Linked DNA regions of Solanum lycopersicum. The protein of the gene in region 1 binds, or shares a complex with, the protein of each later gene. Links are inferred from orthologs where the notes say so. Each region holds a gene or a part of one and is shown in the gene's direction. Other genes may lie near its edges. The genes, in order: probable U6 snRNA-associated Sm-like protein LSm4, sm-like protein LSM7, sm-like protein LSM5 and sm-like protein LSM8.

Region 1 (5,671 bases):
ACTCCGGCTCCTCTTTATTTTAATCTATATTCTTTATTTTCAGAGAGGTGAATATTAGTTTTACAAATTTGAATAACCACTTTATTGTTATTTTTATTATTATATAATTAACATATTATTTTACATATAATGTTATCACTTAAATATCTAATATTCGTAATTTTTAAAAATGTAATATGATACGTTTAAAAATATATTATTTTAATATATACTATATTCATTTCGAATTGATAATGTTTCAAATTTAAAAAAATCGTCACTAATATAATTTAATTTCATTATTAATTTTCACTATAAAGAAAGTACCATTAAAATGATGAGATGAAAATTCTAATTTAAAAAATACAATGCATACACAATAATTTAAATATAAGATAATAGTCTAATACATAAGATAATCATTTAATTACTACGTAAAAGTACAATACATAAGATAATAGTTTAAATACAAAAATAACAATATCATAAATAACATAATAACTTATTTATCATAACGATAATTTAGTAATTCAATAGGTCATTTTTAGATTTAGCTATATTCTGGGAAAAACAATGTATGGGCCAAAAATTTGTTATTACTGCGATTGTGCATATCGAGTTCTTTTTTCAATTATTTATAGTTGTTCTTTTTGCACGTAATTACGAACATTTATATCACTAATAACTTCTAAAATTATATTAAAATTTTATTTTCTTATATAACTTCCTTGAGTTTGACATATCTATTTAGCCTTACGTCGTCTTGTTGTTCGGATATAGCTACTCTAATTGTACAATAGTTTGTGGTAGATGAAAATTTCTAATTTGAACTATTTTTAGTTACGTAAAAATTAAGGATAAAAATATTAATTTTGAACTCCATAGTGCATTGTTACAAGGAAAAATTGTATATATTGGTAAACTAATAAATCAAATTAAATGCTATAACTATACTTTAATTTAATTGTACCCTGTAGCAAACTGTTTGTTAGTCATCTCTTTCCTCAAATTCTTGCTCGCCACTTTTCCTCTCTCGACTTGCTCCCTCTCACTTTTATACAAACACAAGTTTATAAGATGCAATTCTGTTTTTATAAAGTAAAAAAAAATTGTATATATACATACATTTTCTTTCCCCGCTCTCCGTTCTCGCTCGCTACTCTCCCATATCTCGCTCGCTACCTTCGCTTATACAAACATAAATGAAATGTGTAAATTGTGTTTCTGTTTGTATAAAGTGAGAGAAAATTGTATATAAACTTGCAAATACATATATCTTCATGCTATACACTTATAATTATACAATACAAATATTCCTCTGCCCAAATTTCCTTTGTCTTTCTCTATTTCTCGTTTTATACATACACAAATTATACAATTGATTTGTATACAACTGCTTTCTTTTGTATATGTATAGTGAATTATACAATTGGTTTCTTTGTACATGTTTAGAAATTATACATATTTATGTTTGCTATAGAGTGCAATTATGCAAACTTTGCTATAGCATACAAATTTGAATTTTGTATTACGATATGTGAAAGTTGCTCTTATTAGAGCAATTTGGGGAGTAACATAATAATCTTGAAAGTTGAATATTTATGTAATGTTTATGTAATTGTATTTCATTAATGATTTCACTTTTATTCGAATTGTGCTTTAATTTTTATATTATATAATACTTTATTGTAATTTATGTTATTTAAAAATTTAGAATAAAATATAATTTTACATTAAAAATTATTTTAAAAAATAAAAAATTATATCACATAAAAATTACCCCATAAAGTGATTATTTTAAGAACAAAAAAAGAAGCAATAATTTCTCTTATGAAAATAAGAATAAAATAGAAATAAAAATATAATATTGAAAAGAAATAAATAAATCCTATTTAGAATATATAAAAAAAAGAATTGAGTTGAGTTGATTTTCTAAAAAAACAAATTAAATTGAAGTTGATTTTAAGAATAAAGAAATCTATATTCGTAAATTAATAAAGAATATGATATTTATATTTATTTAATATATGCATGTCATCTATTTAATTTTATAATTTATTTTACTAAACTTATCCTGTTAAATATTAGTTTAAAAAAAAGGTGAAAATGAAAGTAGTAGACAATTCAATTTACAGCCCATGAAACGTGGAGCCCACCCAATTCATACTTGATAGCCCTAACGGCGGTACAACAGAAAATTTTCAATTTACAATAAAGCTGGACTCCACTTGCTACAGTTCAAGTTTAATCTACGAACCTTAACGCTTTCGTTTTTCTTTTTCTTTTTCAACAAAAGGGAGGAAAAAGACGAAGATCAAGCTAGGTAAGGCTTTGAATATCTTATATGTATTAGCAAAGATTATGCGTATAAACTATGCACTATCTAGGTTTTGATTGTAAAGAAGAGAGAATTTATAGATTTAAGTGTGCCTAGGTTTTGAATGTAAAGAAAGAGAGAATTTACAGATTTAAGTGTTTTTTTTTTTTGTGTGTGTGTGCGCAGTTCTTCGGGATCAGTTTTTTGTTGTATTGGTAATCCGTGTGTTTTGACTTTTGCAGGCAATCTTGAATTCGGAACTTCCCCCATCTAAAGATGGTAGGTTTAGCGACAATCGCTTTCTGAGCTGTAGGTTTAGGGTTTTGAGTTCTTATGAAGCTCTAATTTTATTTTTTCTTCTGTCTCAGCTTCCCCTCTCTTTGCTCAAGACTGCACAGGGGCATCCCATGGTAAGCTTTTGAATTCATGTGGAAGAGGGGTAGTGTCTCCTTATTTTGTTTCTCTCTTTCTTGTTTATTGTTTAGTCTGATCTTAATTCTTTTCGGTGTGGTAATGCAGTTAGCTCAATTAGGTTTTTCAAGTGCTGCATGTTTCGAATGAACCTGAACTTATGAATAACATACAAAAACAACAAACCCGGTGAATAAAGTAGTTATAGGTATACAGGAGTGTAATTCTCCTGGAGAATAACAATAATGATTTCATGTTTTGTCCAGTTGTTAGTTGAGGCTTTTGGCTAACATTCTTAAAGGCAACAGATTTTTTGTTGGTATAGTTTATCAAGTTTCTGCTTATTTATATAGTATCTCCAAAATATGCCACAAGTTTCTGGAATCCACGAGATTCCAGGGATTTTGAGATTTTGTATGGGATTATCGTTGTTTAAGTTGATTGTATTTGTTCAATTATCTTAATCTGGAAACTTTTGTTTTCTAATACAGCTGGTGGAACTAAAAAATGGAGAGACTTATAATGGTCATTTGGTGAATTGTGATACTTGGATGAATATCCATCTTCGTGAAGTTATCTGTACGTCAAAGGTAATTCATTGTTTATTAAATATGTTATTGCTAGGTTTTCAAATGTATTGGTGCAAGACCACATGATTTTGAAAAATCAATGCAGGATGGAGATAGATTTTGGAGAATGCCTGAATGTTATATTCGTGGCAATACCATAAAGTATCTTAGAGTTCCTGACGAGGTTAGTTCGTTTTCTTAATTGCTATGATTAATAATGCTTTTGTGTAGTATTATTCGCTTTTTCACTTGCAACATAGTGTGTATGGAACGTTTGGACCTTGTACTAAGGGAACAGAAGATGGGTGCCTATTTTGCAGTAGTTATTTGTGTTATTAAATGGTCGCTTGGCAGGGGTGACTGTAAAATTTGTATACTAGTTGTGGAATGGCAGTTTCTACTTAATTAACTGGGACTTAAATACTTGCTTTAGTGCTATCACCCAACATGACAATGAGTTTGAACAATCTTTAGTTGTCATAGCGATTACACGTTAATATACACAATAAATATTTTTTTACACGCCTCCTAACATGCAGGCCTGAATTTTTTTTCCTGTGCCAAGCTCACAACTTATTTGCTGATAATGGGGTGGTTGAGAATTGCACTATGTTGAGATGTGAAATGTGTGATAATCTGATGTAAAAGCTTAAGTTGTTAGGGAGAACACATTTTAGTTTACTTAATAACATCTTGTACGTAACACGGAGGACGGTCCATTAACACCTTTATCGTGGTGCATTTAGGGGCTTGGTTTGATGTAGGTAGGTGGACTCAAGATACTAGCTAATCTTGGTGTGATCAGACTCATGGATATACTTCTCTGGTTACTTTACTCAATGGGGCTTTTAGGGGTGGGTTTCAGTAGTGTTGTTGTAGGCTGAAGTTATGTTACTAGCTAATCTGTGGTGTCTGGGCCTATGGGGCTAAACTTAACTATGGCATACTTGGAATCAGAGCTGGAAAGCATAGAGAACCGGGTAGAAAGTTAAAAGAGGTATCAGCAGTAACACATGTCTAAGGAAAAATGGAGGAAACTGAAGGTTGAACTTACAACACAACTCTGATGTTCCTATAGGGTTAATATAAATGCATCCAATATTCTTGTTGCCTCTTTTCGACCGATAAAATAGGTTTCTTGAAGTGAAATCATTGCTGTGGTTGGACCATTAGTGTTTTAGACTTTGAACATAGTGTTCTTCTCAAATAAGATGTGTAGCCAAGTGGTTTTCATTTAAGATTCGGAAGTTGGATAATTCTTAGTTCTAAGTAATTATTTTCCAATATTAATGGCTTATTTTATATCAGATATCCTATACAAATTTTTTTTATAAAATGTTAGATATCATTAGGTTGAACCACTATTGATGTTGTTCTTTCTTGCATGCCTGTAGTCCACTGTGTTTATTTCCCCGTGACTGTGAGTAGCACATTCTTGTAAGAGGAGAATTGATTACGCTGATGTGATGCAATTTAGCCAAATCAGACATTGTTGTGCTCCCTATGGACCGTTGAATCTGACACCTTAGGTAGGAGTGTGACTCTATGAAGATGGCAATGAGAGATTGCTTTAGCGATGACGAGCTTCCATGTGAAATATAACATTTGCACTTTTGACTAAATAAAGTGGCGGCCCCTGCTTTCTGCTTCTAATTTCTTCCTAGAGATTCACTCTTCTGCCCTGTTTTTTATAGTTCATGACAGGCACATATGGGAAGTTATCCTAGCTTCTCTCGTCCATTCACCTTCCACACATTCATAGTTGATTCAGGAATGACCTTTGAGTTTTGGAAGTTATCCTTTTGTTGATCTTCTAGGAGTGCCAAGAACCATCTTTTCCCAGTGTTTAATTCCTTAGATGCTTTTCTTTTTGTTTGTGTGGGCTTTCAGTACTATCTAGGAAGGGAGATGATGTTTGAATACAGCTGTTATCCTAATCTTCTGTACTTCTCCTTTGTTTGGACACATGGGGGGGGGGGGGGGGAGTTTGTAAAGGAGATGTAGGTGAGAAGAGTTTTCATGGGCAGCTCACATTTTCTTTTAGAAGGTCATAATGTTAACAGATAGAAGTAACCTGTAAAATGAAAATTCTCTATATCCTTTCAGATGTAAATGGCAGATTTACACTTTCACTTCTACGAAAATGGAAAAGAATGCAGATTGCCTTTTCTTTTATACATAGAATAACTTTAGTATTGCAACATTATTTACTGAGAGGTTAAGCTTTGTAGATATTCTTGATTATATATATTTTAATGGACATGCCTACTTGTGTTGACTTGTTTAAATAGTTCATTTTTATCACTGGGGTTGGAGACTGAGTTTGCAGTAGTTCATTAATTCTGGAAGCTTAGTCTGCCCTTGGCTCTTCATTTGACCAAGTTAATAATCCCTC
Region 2 (5,653 bases), on another chromosome or scaffold:
ATCAAAAAAAAGAAAGAAACAGAAGCCTTGTTATATTTCTAGTTTGAAGTTGTCATATTAAACATACGAAAACGCATCTGTATATATACCAAATATGCGGGGAGATGGTGGCATGAAAGCTATTACAAAAGTGAGTTAGTAATAACAGAAGTTTGAGGGTATTATTGATCTCGTAACCACGAAATAGAAGGATTCAAGTAAATCTTGATCATAATACAAAGATCAGATAACAAGGTGAACAGAGAAGGTAACCAGCTTAATATTCTAGTAAGGTTACTCACCACAATAAAATTACGCCATGCTGAAATATCAGACGCCATTGAAGAGACTGATTCAATAAATTCATGGACAACATTTTTAATACTGTCAAGTGACAAGCTTCTTCCATTTCCCCCATCTTCTTGGCCCGAGTCTAGCAACAATAACACCTTGAGGATGAAGGTGCCAGCGTACATTAAGGAAGTCAATGTAAGAGGAAAGACGACAGCTTGCCACTGTTTTAAACATAAAATTGCATTTCAGCAATCAGTCACCCTTTCTCAATCTGCGAGTCATAAAAGAGCAGAACTTGATAACAACCACATGCAAAGCATTGTCGCATGCAAAAAAAACTAATCCAGCACAGATATGATACTTACGATATGATCCAATCTGATGCCATAAACACCTGAAAGGTGAGATTTACCCCACTGAATCTGAAAGATTGAAAAATTGTATTAGACTCAGAATACAAGAGGAAGTTACTAGTAAAGTACTCTTTGCAGAGAAGCTCCAAAACCAATAATTCGTTCATAGATGAATGTAAAACTAATATAAGTCCTTGCTTCCAGCAAATGGTTTATTTCCCGTTTGCTATAGATTTTGAAGTTGAAACTTTAAACTTTAAACTTAAAAAATGAGTTTTCAAAGTGATTTTACAATTTGGAGTTGTGTTTGGATTTGCATTTTACTTGGAAAAAGTTTGAAGTTTTGTCCGAGGAAGTCGCCAAAACAAAAAAAGACTGGTGTGACCCATTCTTTGGGACGTCAAAATATTTAAAGAACAGATTTTAATCATGGCCAAACAGATATCAGATAAATTTTCAAAAACAACTTTCAAAATCAATGTCCAAATGCTAGCAAAGTATTTCGTATAAGAGGTGCATAAGAGATGATACATATTCTAACTGAGAATTAAAATGGAAATATACACATACATACAAAGAGAATCAGAATGCTCAGAGGAGACATCATGCTCCTACTTTAGCATCTTTTAACACTTCGCTTTGCTAAACTAAATAAGCTAGATTTCTCATATGCTCACTCAATTAATAGTTTAAAAAACCAAAAAATCCGAAAAGTCCACAACAAGCATGAGTTTCTGAGATAATAATTATTAGTTGTATTAACAAAATTACTCCGATCCTGTAACATAGCAACACAGAAAACGATATATTGAGCAACAGCAAAAAAAAAATTCAATCAAAGGTCAGAAAATGCTATAAAATTAGTACATGATGAAGGAATCTTACAGGGAGGAGAAGAGAGCAAGCAATAAGTGAGGTAACAGATGAAATTGCAGCGCATATGAACCGTCGAATCAAATACGATTGAAACGAATCTGGCGGCGGTAATCGGAGAATCAACGTCGGAGCATATAAGATCGCAACATACAAAATTGCCATCGCAGTGCACGCAATCACTGCAAGCGATTTCGACACATCACCACCGCCGTCTCCGCCGCCGATGAATGCTACTTCCATCGTCGCCGGATTTTCAGACGGATTTATTAGCAAATAATAATAATAATACATAAATTACAACACAAATTCGTTAAACAAAAAACACTGCTAAATAGTTTTATATTTTTGCTTTGATGGAAGAAATTAGTATTTTTATTTTAGCATGGGTAGTTTCGTCAATTACAACTTATAAGTTTGATTTTCGATGTAATCATTACGTAACTTAGATTATTATTATATTAAAACTAGTATAATAAAAACAATATATCACTTTAAATTTTTTAATCTAAAAATCATATGAAAAAATCTTAAAATATATGGTAAGATTTTATAGGCTAGATAAACGTTAAATTGTTTTATGAAAATGAGAATTATACGAGAAAATTATTAAATTCGAGTCTAATATTATCTAATAAGATGATTTTTAAGAGCTAATTTTTTAAAACAAAAACAAAATCTAAATATTGATCTAAAGAAAAGAAACAACAACAATATTACAAATAAACTCAATATAATTCTATAAGTGATAAAATAATAATTCTATAAGTTACATATGAAAATTATACGTGGTGCATACATAACCTTATTTGTACGTTGTGAAAGTAAACAGATTGTTTTTGATGACCCGAGAAAGGACATAATGGGTAAACCGGCCCAAATTCTCAACCCCATAGCCCATAGATAATAGGGGACGCAATAGGCCCAAATATAAAATACCTAACCCAATCAGTTTTACTGATCCCAGTAGAAATTAGGGTTTCTTCTCTCCGTCGCCGTTGATACGGTTGTTGCCGGTGGTGCTCCGACAGTTCAGTAATTCCCGTCGGAATTCTCGTTCTATCTAGGTAAGTTTTTGCCTTAATTTTTTCTTAAGTTTATAGAGATTAGAGATATGATTTGGAAAAATTCAATCTTTAGTTGTTCTAGTTCGCCTTTGAAGTTCTGATTTTTACTTATGATTTCTGAACTTTTATATGCTTTGTTTTCTTTCATTATTGCATTGTTGTTGCTGAGTATTAACTACTTAATTGTTTCATGTTGTTTTAATTTTGTGCTTGTTTCCTGTTATTTTTGAAGAATTTATTTTATGTCTCCTAGTCGAATATTCTGCTGTTTCAATCTCTTCTTGCTCGTTAGTTGTTTTTCTGTCCTTTGAATAATTTCTCGTTTAATTGTGTGCTCGTTTATCGTTTTGGTCTCCTTGTTTGTTTAATTGTGTACTCCTTAGTTGTTTTTGTCTCCTTGTTTGTTGAATTGTGTGCTCGTTAGTCGTTTCAACTGATGGAGCCCTTCAGCGCTGTAACACCCCTTGCATCCTGATCACGGTCTTCATATAATTTTGCTGATATTGTGGCCTTGACCTCTCTTCATTCCTTCCCTTCCTTTTGTGTCAAGATCATATTGGGGTTTTTCACCCAATGGTGAAGCTTAATGATCAATGACGTGTGTTGAGCACGATGAGGGTCTTGTATTCAAATTCGGTTGGTATAAAACACTAGTTGGTTTCTTCTCATCTATTTTAGCCTTGGTAGATATAATTGCCTTGCACTATAATGTGCGCTATAATGCCCCTTGCTTCATGATTGCAGTCCTTTTTGGTCTGTTATAATGCTGGGGTAGTGTCCTTGACCTCTCTTTCTTCCCTTTTGAGTTGTGTCAAGATCATCTTGGTTTGCTTTTGCACCCGTGGGTTGGCTTAGTTGTCAATGAATTGGGTAGTGCACTATGAGATTTCAATTTCAAATCCCAACAGAGACAAAATATTAGTTGATTTTATCCATTTGTTCTAGCCATGGTTGATAAAGTTTCCTGGCACTAGGTGTGCAAGCTTGTTCAGACAGCATGGCTATCAAAAAACAATAATTTGCTTTCTTCCTGCAATCTGTAGTACTTGAGTTGTGAGATATTGGTATGTGTTGTCATCATTAAATCACATTAGGAGGCTAACAATTATTAGAAAGCATATATCTGTATCTACTCTATACAAGTAAGTTTGCTGGACGGTGAGCTCATTTTTTTCTACTACATGTTTTTCTATTGCAGGATATATCCACCTTGTTGTAGCAATTTTTCTCCATTAGTTGGATAAAGAAAGCTCTTTAGACAAACAGAAGAAATGGTATGTTCTCACTTACACTATAGCCAGTAATTTGACAAAATTATCCTACTACTATCTAATTTACATAGTTTCTTGACTACATCTTCATAAAAAAACATTGTTTCTTGATTACATAAAAAAACTCACTTATCTAAATAGGGGTAAAGTTGGATTATGTAAGTGGACGCTTATGTTTGAACCAAGATTAAGGTTAAGTGGACATACATTTTGAACCGGACGGAGTACCTATTTTTGTAAAAGTAGTTCAAAGCTTTCTAGATTTTCTAAGTTTGGATAGAAAGAGGAAAGAAGAAAAAGATTCTTAAGGTATTTGTTGATGAGAGGGAGGTGAAAGGGTTAACTGTTACCTGCTAGTTAAGGTGTAGTCATGTTTTTTATGCAACAGCAAGGAGGAAATGTGTAAATTCTTTTATTGAATTTCAGTTGGCGTAGTTACCTCATACACTTTCTTGTTTCTCTGTTCAGTCTGGCAGGAAAGAAACAGTTTTAGATTTGGCAAAATTTGTTGACAAGGGTGTGCAAGTCAAGCTTACTGGTGGAAGACAAGGTGCGTCATGCAATGTCTGTCATTCATTACTCATAAGAATGCTCATCCACTCAAACACACCTTCCCTTGTCAAAACAATTTATTCCTCTCTATTTGCCAGTTGTGACTTGTTTTACCTCTTTGTCATGCTCTCTTGCTGTTGCTTGTGGAGTTATGTTGTTGATACTTGATACGTCATCATATAGTCAATCTGGACTCTGGGTTGTGAGTTGCACAAATTGCAATCTTTTTCTTTTCTGCTGATTAATTCTGTCTTCACAGTGGTTGGAACACTTAAAGGCTATGACCAGCTGCTTAATCTTGTCTTAGATGAAGCCGTGGAGCACCTTAGAGGTAACAATATTATCATAGCTAAATTTCGGAGTTTAAATTGTTTTAAATGGTGGTCAGTCGAGGAAATGTATTGTTTCGTGACTCTCATGTTCTGCATTATGTTAGCGTCCACAAGTTTTGCGTGTCTGCGCTGATACTGTATATTTGTTTTATCATTTTGTTAAGTGAAAATAATCTTTTCCTTGAAATCCCTTCATTATTTTTCAGTAGAATGGAGCAGCAAATTGCTTAATTAGATACTTGCTACTCATCATTTTGTGGAATTCCATTTGTTGTACAGTTGATGATTTTAAACTTTTTTTCCATAGATGCTGATGATCCCCTGAAGACTACTGATCAGAAACGAAGTCTTGGCTTAATAGTATGTGTTCTATATATTCTCTCAAAGAACATATTCTTTTAAAGAAATATCGTAACATTGGTTCAAGAATGTATTACAGCCTATGTTGCTCGCACTCTCCATGTCAGATGTTCCAAAAGTATACTATTTTTGGAGGATACGAGATGCACTGCATTTATGAAGAGTCCGAGCAACTTAGATTGCTACTATGGTTAGGTAATGTGGAAGGTAATCATAAATTTGACCTCTTTTCTCTGCTTCTTGCCTTCCTTCCACACACAGGTCTGTAGGGGTACTGCAGTAATGCTCGTGGCTCCAACTGATGGTACAGACGAGATATCCAATCCTTTTGTTCAGCCAGACGGGGCATAGAAGAATCAAACCTTGTTATTTCGAATTTAGCTCAACTGTAATGCTGTAAACATTCTGCACCTTTGCCTTCTATTTGCTAATATTTACTGTTTCTATTAGAGAAAATGCTTCTTCTTCTAGCAAAGCTGTAACTGCTCCTGCTGCGTTTTCATTTTTCTTGTTGATGTAAAGTCATATTAGTTCCCATTTCACCTGTGACAATGCCAGACATGTATCAAACA
Region 3 (5,410 bases), on another chromosome or scaffold:
TTAACATCTATTATACATAATTAAAAAATTATTTTATAAATAATAATATTTTTTCATCGAGCTGAACTCCCTCATTATATGATGCCTCCGCACCTGCTACGAAGTACTTCAAGAGAAAAAGAAAAAGGAAAACAAATAAATGAACCAAGGAAGTGATTTCATATTAAAATAATTTATTCTGGTATAAGTGTTTTTTTAAAAAGATACTTTTGAGTTTTGAAGAATAATATTTTTGATTGGTCAGAAAAATATATATTTTTGCTAGTATTATTGGAGCAAATTGCGTTTATACAAGTTTTTTTAAAAAGTATTTTTAGATTTTCTGAAAACATTTTATTATTATTATCAAAAATATTTATTTTTTCATTAAAGCTTGATCAAACACACCAATTTTATAGGAAAAAAAATATTATTTTTCTAAAAAAATAAAATAAATACTTTTAATTTCTTAAAAGCACGACAAACTATAATTAGTGAGCTACCAAATTTTGAATATTAAATAAATATATAAATAAAAATAGGAAACAAGAAATGGACCATTTCATTAATTTGAGTTTCAAAATTAAGAGGAATTTAACAAAACTTTAATCACATGACAAAATATCCTCTAAAAAGGTCCCTCTCGTGGCCAAAATCACACCTTATAGCCTACCTAACTTTTCACTAAAGCACAACAACAATAAGTGAAATATCATTCGATAGAGTTTGAAAAGAATAAAATATACGTAAATTTTAATTCGAGTAATAAAAAAAATAATACAACACTTAATAAAATAACAACAAAAAGTCTAAAAAAATAAAATAGTGTATAAGTATTATTACAAGGCCGAGCTAAAGCTTTCACTTAGGGGTATAAAATATGAATAGATAAACATTCGAACTGGTGGAAGCCTTCATATGTTTTCACTTAGGGGTACAAAACTCGAAAGGGGTTCAACATTTATTATTTATACAAAAAAATAATTTTAATCATATATAAACACTCCATCTGTCTCATTTTATGCGATAATTTTCGAATTTCAAGCTTCAAACAAGTCTATCTTTGAACGTAATTTTTTCATAGATCTTTTAAACATTTTAAATTATCAATTATTGTGACTTATAGTATTTTTTTACTTAGTTTATAAATACATCAATTTCATTTCAACAAAATTGAAAATTTCATGCGCAAATTCCCGATCAAACTTAAATTGTTTGACTCTTGAAAAACGAGAAGTACTACATAAATTAGGACATAAAGAATAATATAATTTTCAATCGAAGGGGTTCGGATGACCAACCTGGGCATAAGCTAGCTCCGCCCCTATCAACAGGCACTAACAAGACTAAGCGAGATACTTTCTAACCCATTCAACTATCTACCCGAATATGTAGCATCAACTCCACCTTATCTAAAGTCATGCCCTTAATAATATTTGATTAATTTAGAGTTTTAACTCAATAAATCGTTTCTCAAATTTAAAAATTCATTAATTTTTTTGTGAAAGTTTTAGTTCCGTGATTTATTTTAGGAGTTTAGATTCTATAAGTCGTTTACCCAATTTGAAATTCTAATGAATTTTCGTTATGACTGTCAAAAGATTTTACTCCGTGAATCCTTTTCAGAAGAATTCAATATTCCAACATAATTTCACACCATAATTGTGAAATTTTAAATTAATAAAAAATTTAAACTTCATAATTTTTTTCCGTATAATTTAGAACTCTTAATCAGAACTTCATTATTTCTCGATTACATTCTAAATGATAGTGATACGAAACTTGCTCAATTGACCACAAACTATATCTAACGTAAGTTCTTCCTTGCGATTTATTTTCAAGTTGAGATCGTTTTATCAATCAAGAACAAAAGTTTAAAATCGAACACTTTCAAAGACATCATGCGTAATTTCCTAGTATCCGTTTCCCCAAATTCTCAAATTTAAATGGGCCAAGCCCATATACCTTAAGAAAAGGAAAGGAGAATCTAAGCCCATTATTAAGAGTCTGATATTGGGCCATTGGCAAAATCCAGGCCCAAAAGGCTCAAAGTTTATAAAATGTCAATTTCAACCCTTCAAGAAATCACCCTAAACACAAAAGCCCCTAAAGTTGAACAGTTTTAAGCTATTTCAGTTCACCGCCATTACTCCATTAGAATTTTGTGAGCAAAAGAGAAAAACTTTGTGAAATCTCAATCTCAGCTATGTCTTCGAACAACCCTTCTCAGCTTCTTCCTTCTGGTACTTTCTTTAACTAGATTTTATCAATTGGAACTTTAAGCCTTGTGTCTTTTTGATTTTGTTCTTATTATTATTTTTTTTTAATTAGGGATTTGCTGTAATTTTTGTGTTATTTGGTTATTTTTATGAGATGGGTTTTTGAGTTTATGGGTTTTAATATGCAGAGTTGATTGATCGTTGCATTGGTTCAAAGATATGGGTGATAATGAAGGGTGATAAGGAGCTTGTTGGTACACTTAGAGGATTTGATGTTTATGTTAACATGGTTCTTGAAGATGTTACTGAATAGTAAGTCTTTTGTATCTTTCTTTTCATACTTCTAATGGTGTGGTGGTGCAGTTCTTTTTGTTGATGCTTTTGCTGTTGTTTTGTTAAAGATTGGAACTTTAGGGTTTTGAAATGCTATAATTTTGCCATTGTTTTGTCAATGATTGTGACTTTAGGGTTTTGGAGTGCTAAATGAATTTAGTAGATTTTCAATTGTGTGCATTGGATTTGGAGCAGAGATTGATTAAGTAGACCAGTTTTGTGTACTGTTAGGTGCTCGGTCAAATTTGTCTAGTTCAGAATTGCAATCTGTGCACTTATAAGAGAATTGGGGTTTAGTGTTGTGTGTAGTTGAAAATCATTCAAGAATAAAGTTGTGTGCATTGGATTGCAGAGATTGATTAAGTAGACCAGTTTTGTGTAGTGTTAGGTGCCCGGTCAAATTTGTCTAGTTCAGAATTGCAATCTGTGTACTTATAAGAGAACTGGGGTTGGTGTCGTGTGTAGTTGAAAATGATTCAAGAATATAGTTGTGAACTTTTGGTGAAGTTTGAATACACCAGTTCTTGAAGATGTTACTGAATAGTAAGTCTTTTGTATCTTTCTTTTTATACTTCTAATGGTGTGGTGCAGTTTTTTTTGTTGATGATTTTGATGTTGTTTTGTTGAAGATTGGAAATTTAGGGTTTTAGAATGCTATCATCTTGCCATTGTTTTGTCAAAGATTGTAACTATAGGGTTTTGGAGTGCTAAAGGATTTTAGCATGTTTTCAATTGTGTGCATTGGATTTGGAGCAGAGATTGAATAAGTAGACCAATTTTGTATTGTCTTAGGCGCCTGGTCAAATTTGCCTGAGTTTAGAATTGCAACCTGTGTACTAATAACTGAATTGGGGTTTAGCATCCTAAAGAAAAGGGCAGCCTGGTGCACTAAAGCTACCCTTGTGCATAGGGTTCGGGGTTTAGTGTTCAATGTAGTTAAAAATGATTCAAGAATGAAGTTGTGAACTTTTGGTGAAGTTTGAACAAAAACACCAGTTTTTATGTTAGCTCTGCATAAACGTTAATGCCTGAATATTGATGTTACATAGTTTGTGACATTTGAAAAGTTATCCGTCCTGCTTCTGCCTCATAACTCTGCTATGAGCTATAGTTGAATGGAATATTTGTCACTCCACTGTGCAACTATTTTTCAGTATTTATTTCACTGCCATTTCTATCAAATTTTGTATTACTCCTTTGTTTTGCTTTACTTGAGTTGAAGTTCGTTTGGAAACAGCCTGTCTACCTCCACGAATTAGGGGTAAGGTCTGCGTATACTCTACCATCCTCAGCCCCTGGGTATGTCATTGATGCGGAGGCCTGATCTGTTGCGCTGGGGGACTAAAATTAGCTTTGGTATCTCTATTAGAGTGAGGATTTGGTTTTATTTTAGTACAAATTTAAGATAAATGTTATTTGCATATTCCGTCTTACAGATCTTAAAGGGATCATTGTAAATAGGAATAGTTTCATGAGTTGACACCTAAAGGCTAAAACATACTCCTTGAGTGTAGTAACTTCACGTTCAAAGCAACTTCGTTGTATATCTTGCAACTTTTGATGCTGACTGATTCTTTCTAAAAAAAAACTATCTTTACATATTGAAAATGGAGGTTTTAGGATGCATTCATCTGCTGTATTGACAATTCAGTATAAGATGTGGTCTCTCTTTAAGTCTAGTTTATTATTCGCATAAAAGTTATTATATCCTAAATTTTCAATGAAAAACAGTATGTCCGTCATTTGTAAAGTTCATGTTATTCCCCATCCCAGAATGTAGACAGGTTTATTTTTCCCGGTCATGGGTTATAGTTGAAAAGAGCATTTTATCATTCCTCTGCTTAACAAATTTTCAATCATGTTACAGCGAGATCACTTCTGAAGGGCGGAGGATAACAAAACTTGATCAGATATTGCTCAATGGAAACAACATTGCTATCGTGAGTATAATCTAGCCCTCTCTGACTATAATAGTATTTTCTTTCTTCATTTTTTTCCTTTTTTCATTCGCATAACAATATTGTATCGTGAATATAATCTTTTCCCCCCCTCAATGCAGCTGGTTCCTGGAGGGTCGCCACCTGATGAATGATAACTGCAACGCAACTTGTGCTGTTTAGTGAGACTAGTTGATGAAGATTTCCGCGAGATACATGTATTTTTAGTAATTCTCATGTGTTCAGCTAGGATCTACTATCAATTGTAGTTGCATTATATTGAAAACATTTATGGTGATGATTCTTGCAATGGTACTTTGGCTCTGGTGTTGCCAAGCTATTAGCTTTAAACTCTGTATGGAGTTTCTACAGGAATGGTAAAACTCAAATGGATCGTTGGTTACTGTTGACGATCCATTTTAATTTCTTTGTGCCCCGAGGGTGTAGTCTAATGGTTAATGAAGTGCGTAAAACATCAGGTGATTTCGTCTTGTCTTTGATTAATCTAAATAATAATAAACCAAGCAGGGTAGAGTAAGACTCTTTGCCTTTGCAAATTGTAAATTCAAATTAATCAATTTTTTTTAAGTCCATTTAAAAATATTATACTTTTTTAAAGTAAATATTTAGTTTTAACTTTCTAATTAACACATGTAAGACAACAAATTTTTTTTTTTTTAAAAACACTTTGGTGTATTCTATCTATCTTTTAATTTAACATTACGAAATTGAAAAGTCTTTTTTATTCTTCTTAAACTTAGTCCGTTTACTTTTATTTATTACACTTTGATTTGACACATTTATTAAGTAAATAATTATCGATATAGATATTTCATCAAACTATCCCTTATTAAATGATGTCTCGAAAAAAAAGTATTTAAACCTGAATAAAATTAATTATATTTCTTGATATATCAAAAGTGATAAATAAAAATGAAAATA
Region 4 (5,471 bases), on another chromosome or scaffold:
CGAGAACTTCGTTACCAACTGCTATGCCACGAATCAAGGTACCGGGGAGGTAAGGTTGTACGTTTATTTTCACCCATTCAACAGCGCGATCTTCATTCACACTTATGTCCTTGAGAAATTCATTGCCAAGTCCTATGATGATTTGAATTTCAGAATCTTTAAAAGCTGTTAGAACACTATGATCCGCGTCATAGATTCTAACATTCTTTATTTTGTTAGCCCTCAGAAGCGTTACAACGCTTTCTGGGGCTGGGATGTTGTCTGCTATCCTTCCATAATTTATCCCATATGTACCTGTAAATGCATCTGCCACCAAAACTGTGTACAACAAATACCAAAAGAAGTATTAGTACATGGTAAAAAGATGAGTATTTGTTTCTCATCTATGCAAAATATGATCAAAACAACAACTACGTCTCAAATCCTGAGCAAGTTGGGATTTGCTGGCTATATGAATTCTCACTATCCATGTCACTCCATTCAAAATACGTTTATATAAGGGGCGAGTTGGGGGCCAACTTGAAGCTAGGCGCCAACTTAGCATCAATTGGCGTACATATGTTGTAGAATGCATTTTATAACGTTTCTAGCTCAATTGATGCTAATTGGCGCCTATTGAACTTTATTCAATGATTGAGAAGGGTCGGACCACAAGGGTCTATTGTACACAGTCTTACCCTGCATTTCTGCAAGAGACTGTTTCCACATCTCTAACTCATGACCTCATATGGTTACATGATAACAACTTTATGAGTTGCATCAAGACTCCCTTTGAGGACATAGATAGTACAAGTCAAATTATAGTTTGAGATCATGACAATTAAAACCTAAAAAAAGAGCAGAAAAATACCATTAAAGAGAAGAATGAGACAGAGGAATAAAGACAAGTAGGAAGTCATTTTTTTTTTGTTAGTAACATAAATTTTATTCCCAGTTATTAGTAATATATGTAACAAAGATGGTAACTTGGGATACAATGCTTCTCTATTAGGCAAATATGGCATAGTTGATAATCAAAACAATAAAGATTCTAAACTTTAGAATTATGTTTTCTAATGTTGTTTTAGAATTTATTCCAACCTTTTCAAAACAGCCATTAATTTCTTCCCTCTTAATTCTAATGCCTTTATCATATAGCTTTCCTCTTTTTGTCATGTACTTGACTAGCAAAACGAGCTCAGAATTTAAAATATATAAGTTTTGAATTATATACTAAGATATTGAGTGATCGGAACTTGACATAATGTCTCTTATGGAATTTGTTTTTTTTTTATTGGAGAAGTCATTTAGATGTGTTCAGATTTCTAATTATTTAAGTTGTGGATTACTATATGACAAGATAACATATAGGGTCGGAACATGAGAAAATGTAACTTGTGGAATTATTTTCCTTGTCTTCAAAAAAATATTTTTTAAAAGTTTTAATCAAATTTTAAAAAAATTAAGATATGTTTTATACCAATGGCACAGAAAAACAACAACATATTATATATCACAACCTATCAACTTTTACTATAAAAAAAATGGTATAACATATATAAAAAATCTTCATAGAATTTTATAGGGTATAAGATATACAAAAAACCTTTGTAGAATTTTTTAGGGTCTAATGAGGTTCATTTCAACTATGTCTCCACAAGAATTAGTAACACATAGTTTACGAGTCTGTTTGATCAAATAAGTATGATAATTTTGAAATAAAGTGTGAAATTATTTTGTTTAAAATTGTATTTTTGTAAGTATTTTTGATTTAAATTATTTGAATTGAGGATTTTTCATAAATAATTTCTTTATTTCACCAAATTAAGAATAAAGGATGCGTAAATTTTATATTACTTTAATTTCACATACGAAAATCACTAATGAATTTGTTATTTATTCTAATAGTTAGAATTTTGTATACATATGATATACATAATTATACTATACAATACTTGTGATATAATTTTTAATCTCATATCATAATCCCCTCATTCTAATTGAGTGTAGTTAAATCACCTAGATTGCTCTAGGAGGACTACTCCGGCTTAATTTTCATCTATTGAGGAATCAAATCTCAAGATAAGTAAAATATTGAGGACCAAATCAAAGTTTAGACAAAAGTTATAAGGATCACTTGTGTAATTTTACTGAGTACCTACTTTAACGCACGGCGTCTCACTCTCCTCCTCAGTTCGAGTTTCGAGAACTCCTCGACGATTTTTTTTCGCAGGTAAATTACTAATTTTAGGGCTCTTCTTTGCTTTGTAGTAGAAATTATTTGTTTTTCCGATTTCTAAGCTCTTACATGTATTGAATCATCTCCGCCATTTTTTTGTTGCTTCAATTTGATTCGGCTGATATAATTAATATCTGATACGGCGGCAGATTTAATATCGGAATGAACTTTTGTTATTCAGGTACTGTATGAACTGTATATCGAACTTAGAAGACGATACGAGAGTACTGTACTGGAATTTAGGGTTTATATTTATTGGAATGAAATTAATTTGATTATGTTTGTGTTTCTGTACTATGTATGTATTTTGTTCAGCATTCTGATTATAATTTTAATACGATGTGCAAAGTTGGAAAAAAAAAATCAACAGTGTTGAGTATAAATGTTACGGGATTGTGTATTGTTTGCATTTGAAACATTTGTTCCGGTGAGTTCCTGTGGTGTCTAGGCCAGCTTTTGCGCACATGGGATACTTGCCATCTCCCAGGTTCTAGGTGAGTTCAAATGAAGATTATTATTGGATATTTGTTTTTTCGTAATTCTAGAGTCTCTGAATAGTGGAAGTTGTGTTGTTATGCAGAGAAGGAATAATATTGCTTTAGAATTGGTAGAAAATCTTATTGCCCATTTTGGTGTAAAATGGTTCATCCCTTTGCTCGGTGGAATAATCTATCTAGGTTTAATTATGTTGTAAGCTTTTCAACAGGAAAAAAGGGGATATATAGATAGTACTCAAACATTCTGTTTCGTTTTTATGAAACCTAAACTATAGCTTTTGATCTTGGGATTTAAGAAAAAACCATTTAGAAAACTGACTGACTAAAGGTGGATGAGAAAAAGGGATTTGGAAATATTTTATGTTCTGCAAAAATTGACTGTGTTTGCATTACTCCATATCTTTTATTGGTATTAAAGCAAATGACAATATTATGATAATTCCAATCTCTACTCGATTAGGCTGCCTTCAGCTCTTTGTTTGATATTTTCAATGAGTTGTTTCTTCCTAGAAAAATGAGCAAATGCCCCACCCATAAGTTTAGCCAGCAAATTGTTCAAGCCCACATAGCTCTTATATGGCCACATTCTTGCATATTAGTATTATTTATTTTGCTTAAAAGTATTTTAACTTGTGGGCTTCCTTTTATGTTTTGACAAGGTTTTAGCATCAGTTTACCAAGAAGCTGACAACTAAGTTTCAGCTCACTCTGCAACATGGCATCTGGACTTGGGCTTGAGTCTCTTGTTGATCGTACGTGGACTGTCCTTGTATTTATTTTCTGTCTTGCTTGATGAGATTAGCTCATGTTTTAAGGAATAACACTATTTGTTTTCTTTCTTTTGGTGTTTCCAGAAACTATCTCAGTTATTACAAATGATGGACGGAATATTGTGGTGAGACATTGTTTTGCTTTTGTTGCCAAATACTGTGCTGGAGACCCTTTATTTTGCTGACTTCTTGATTCTTTTTCAGGGAGTTCTGAGAGGATTCGACCAGGCTACAAACTTGATTCTTGATGAATCTCATGAGAGAGTATATTCAACAAAGGTTCGTCTGTGTCTTATCTGAAGAATTCATTAATCATGTCTAGACATTTCATTTTAGTAATGGTGTACAGTTATTTATACAAATTACTTCTGAACGACATTTTGATATATGTGGATGTTTCTATTTGGTGCTTGTAGTTTCTAGGATTCTTAGTATTTTCCAGCTCATTAATATTTGCTAGAATTTATTCAGTCATTACATGGTAGTCTAGTCAGTTACTAGAAGTACTTTTTGAATGCCTGAAAATTTGAATTTTCAGGTTCTACTTTCTATCTAAGTAGACAATATTCTCATAAAAAATTGCCAAAGAAAGTACAAAGCAACAAGCAGCATTTAAAAAAGTCCCTCATGGTTGCATAATCTAGGTAATGAAGAGTGAGATTTCATCTTCAATTTGGTTTTTTTTGAAAATCGGGTAACATAATTTTTTCATGGTAGAGTTTGGTTTTCCTCCTTTTTGAGCCGAGGGTCTATCCGAAACAGCCTTTCTACCTCACAAAGGTAGGGGTAAGGTTTGTGTACATCCTACCATCCTCGGACTCCATTTGTGGGATTACACTGGGTATGTTGTTGAGTATGGTTTTCCTGAATGTCGGCGCTGTAGCAGTCTGCAGTAGATGTGAAACAAGATGCTTTGGTATGACTGAAATTGTTTGCTAACTATAGTTTCATGCTATTATGGGCTTTTTTCACATTAAGGTTCCTTTTTTTTTTCCATGCTTATACCCCTATAAGTAAACCTTTTTCCAATTATGCTGTGGTTTATTTGCATTATTGTGCTTGCTGTGTTAAGTACTACTAACCCTTAGCTTTTATTTGCAGGAAGGTGTACAGCAACTTGTGTTAGGTCTTTATATCATAAGGGGAGACAACATGTATGTGCACTGTTTGCTGCCACTTCTTTTTTAAGGATGCATATGGTTCACCTAAAACAAGAATTCCTTTAAGCCCTAATAGGTTTTCCTGTTAAATTGTTGCAGAAGCGTCGTTGGGGAATTAGATGAAGATCTTGATAGTAACTTGGATATGTCAAAACTGAGAGCACATCCTCTAAAGCCAGTCGTTCACTGACCTGCAACTTGGTGTGAGCCTTGTAATCCTGTGAACGGATGATGGATGGATCAAACATCAGTTTAGTTGATAGACTTTGGTACAACTATCAAATGAAAACTTCAGACATGTTATGTAGCTAGGAACACAAACTGTTATAGTTCGTTAGTCGTCGTTATATGTCTTATAAGTTTCCCTTTCTGATATTGGCTTGCGAAAGATTTTGAACTTTGTATAACTATCATATTAAAACTGCAGGCATGTTTCTGTGCCTAAGAGCACAAGCTGTTTTAGTTTACCTCTCATCTTCTGTTTAAGCTGGATAGCCGAACTTAATGTCTCTGTTAAAAAGGTGTTTATTGTTTTTACAGAACGAGAAAATGATCAAATTGGTCCTTAATGTGTGGTAATACTCTTACCTTTCTTAAACTTCATTTATGGACTATGGTCAGAGAATTTTATTGGGTAAAACTCTTAAATGGGTAGAAAGTGATTATTTTTGTCCTAGACCTTGAAGTAACAACTATGCAAGTAAATGTCTTTTTCTTATTAAGTTTAACTAGCAATTCACTTTATTTGTATAAAAAAATTATTAGACAAAAATGGGAGTGAAGCTTTTCGGCCATAACCAAATATAGAACGGTTTAAGTTTTGCCA

Evidence for each region.
Region 2: probable U6 snRNA-associated Sm-like protein LSm4 (region 1) and sm-like protein LSM7 share a complex: the UniProt entries of both Arabidopsis thaliana proteins name them as parts of the heptameric LSM1-LSM7 complex. The link is inferred for Solanum lycopersicum from reciprocal best matches to the Arabidopsis thaliana genes emb1644 and EMB2816.
Region 3: probable U6 snRNA-associated Sm-like protein LSm4 (region 1) and sm-like protein LSM5 share a complex: the UniProt entries of both Arabidopsis thaliana proteins name them as parts of the heptameric LSM1-LSM7 complex. The link is inferred for Solanum lycopersicum from reciprocal best matches to the Arabidopsis thaliana genes emb1644 and SAD1.
Region 4: probable U6 snRNA-associated Sm-like protein LSm4 (region 1) and sm-like protein LSM8 share a complex: the UniProt entries of both Arabidopsis thaliana proteins name them as parts of the heptameric LSM2-LSM8 complex. The link is inferred for Solanum lycopersicum from reciprocal best matches to the Arabidopsis thaliana genes emb1644 and LSM8.

What each region holds. Positions count from the first base shown.
Region 1 is NC_090800.1:85,774,032-85,779,702, forward strand, and holds the start of probable U6 snRNA-associated Sm-like protein LSm4, read left to right. Parts: upstream 1-2,096; 5' UTR 2,097-2,302; intron 2,303-2,538; 5' UTR 2,539-2,572; coding exon 2,573-2,575; intron 2,576-2,664; coding exon 2,665-2,706; intron 2,707-3,198; coding exon 3,199-3,297; intron 3,298-3,382; coding exon 3,383-3,460; intron 3,461-4,734; exon of another isoform or gene 4,735-4,851; intron 4,852-5,671. UniProt on the Arabidopsis thaliana protein: Component of LSM protein complexes, which are involved in RNA processing. Component of the cytoplasmic LSM1-LSM7 complex which is involved in mRNA degradation by promoting decapping and leading to accurate 5'-3' mRNA decay.
Region 2 is NC_090808.1:3,547,016-3,552,668, forward strand, and holds the start of sm-like protein LSM7, read left to right. Parts: upstream 1-2,334; 5' UTR 2,335-2,566; intron 2,567-3,764; 5' UTR 3,765-3,837; coding exon 3,838-3,840; intron 3,841-4,305; coding exon 4,306-4,387; intron 4,388-4,648; coding exon 4,649-4,720; intron 4,721-5,028; coding exon 5,029-5,081; intron 5,082-5,160; coding exon of another isoform or gene 5,161-5,241; exon of another isoform or gene 5,242-5,342; coding exon 5,343-5,432; 3' UTR 5,433-5,653. Other genes in the region: CAAX prenyl protease 2, read right to left, coding at 282-494, 639-695, 1,512-1,793. UniProt on the Arabidopsis thaliana protein: Component of LSM protein complexes, which are involved in RNA processing. Component of the cytoplasmic LSM1-LSM7 complex which is involved in mRNA degradation by promoting decapping and leading to accurate 5'-3' mRNA decay.
Region 3 is NC_090808.1:68,244,848-68,250,257, reverse strand, and holds sm-like protein LSM5, read left to right. Parts: upstream 1-2,038; 5' UTR 2,039-2,185; coding exon 2,186-2,222; intron 2,223-2,386; coding exon 2,387-2,510; intron 2,511-4,398; coding exon 4,399-4,471; intron 4,472-4,590; coding exon 4,591-4,623; 3' UTR 4,624-4,894; downstream 4,895-5,410. UniProt on the Arabidopsis thaliana protein: Component of LSM protein complexes, which are involved in RNA processing. Component of the cytoplasmic LSM1-LSM7 complex which is involved in mRNA degradation by promoting decapping and leading to accurate 5'-3' mRNA decay.
Region 4 is NC_090805.1:47,956,333-47,961,803, reverse strand, and holds sm-like protein LSM8, read left to right. Parts: upstream 1-2,073; 5' UTR 2,074-2,212; intron 2,213-2,367; exon of another isoform or gene 2,368-2,712; intron 2,713-3,374; 5' UTR 3,375-3,430; coding exon 3,431-3,467; intron 3,468-3,569; coding exon 3,570-3,610; intron 3,611-3,689; coding exon 3,690-3,764; intron 3,765-4,586; coding exon 4,587-4,639; intron 4,640-4,744; coding exon 4,745-4,835; 3' UTR 4,836-5,112; downstream 5,113-5,471. Other genes in the region: glucan endo-1,3-beta-glucosidase 14, read right to left, coding at 1-318, 851-899. UniProt on the Arabidopsis thaliana protein: Component of the nuclear LSM2-LSM8 complex which is involved splicing nuclear mRNAs. LSM2-LSM8 binds directly to the U6 small nuclear RNAs (snRNAs).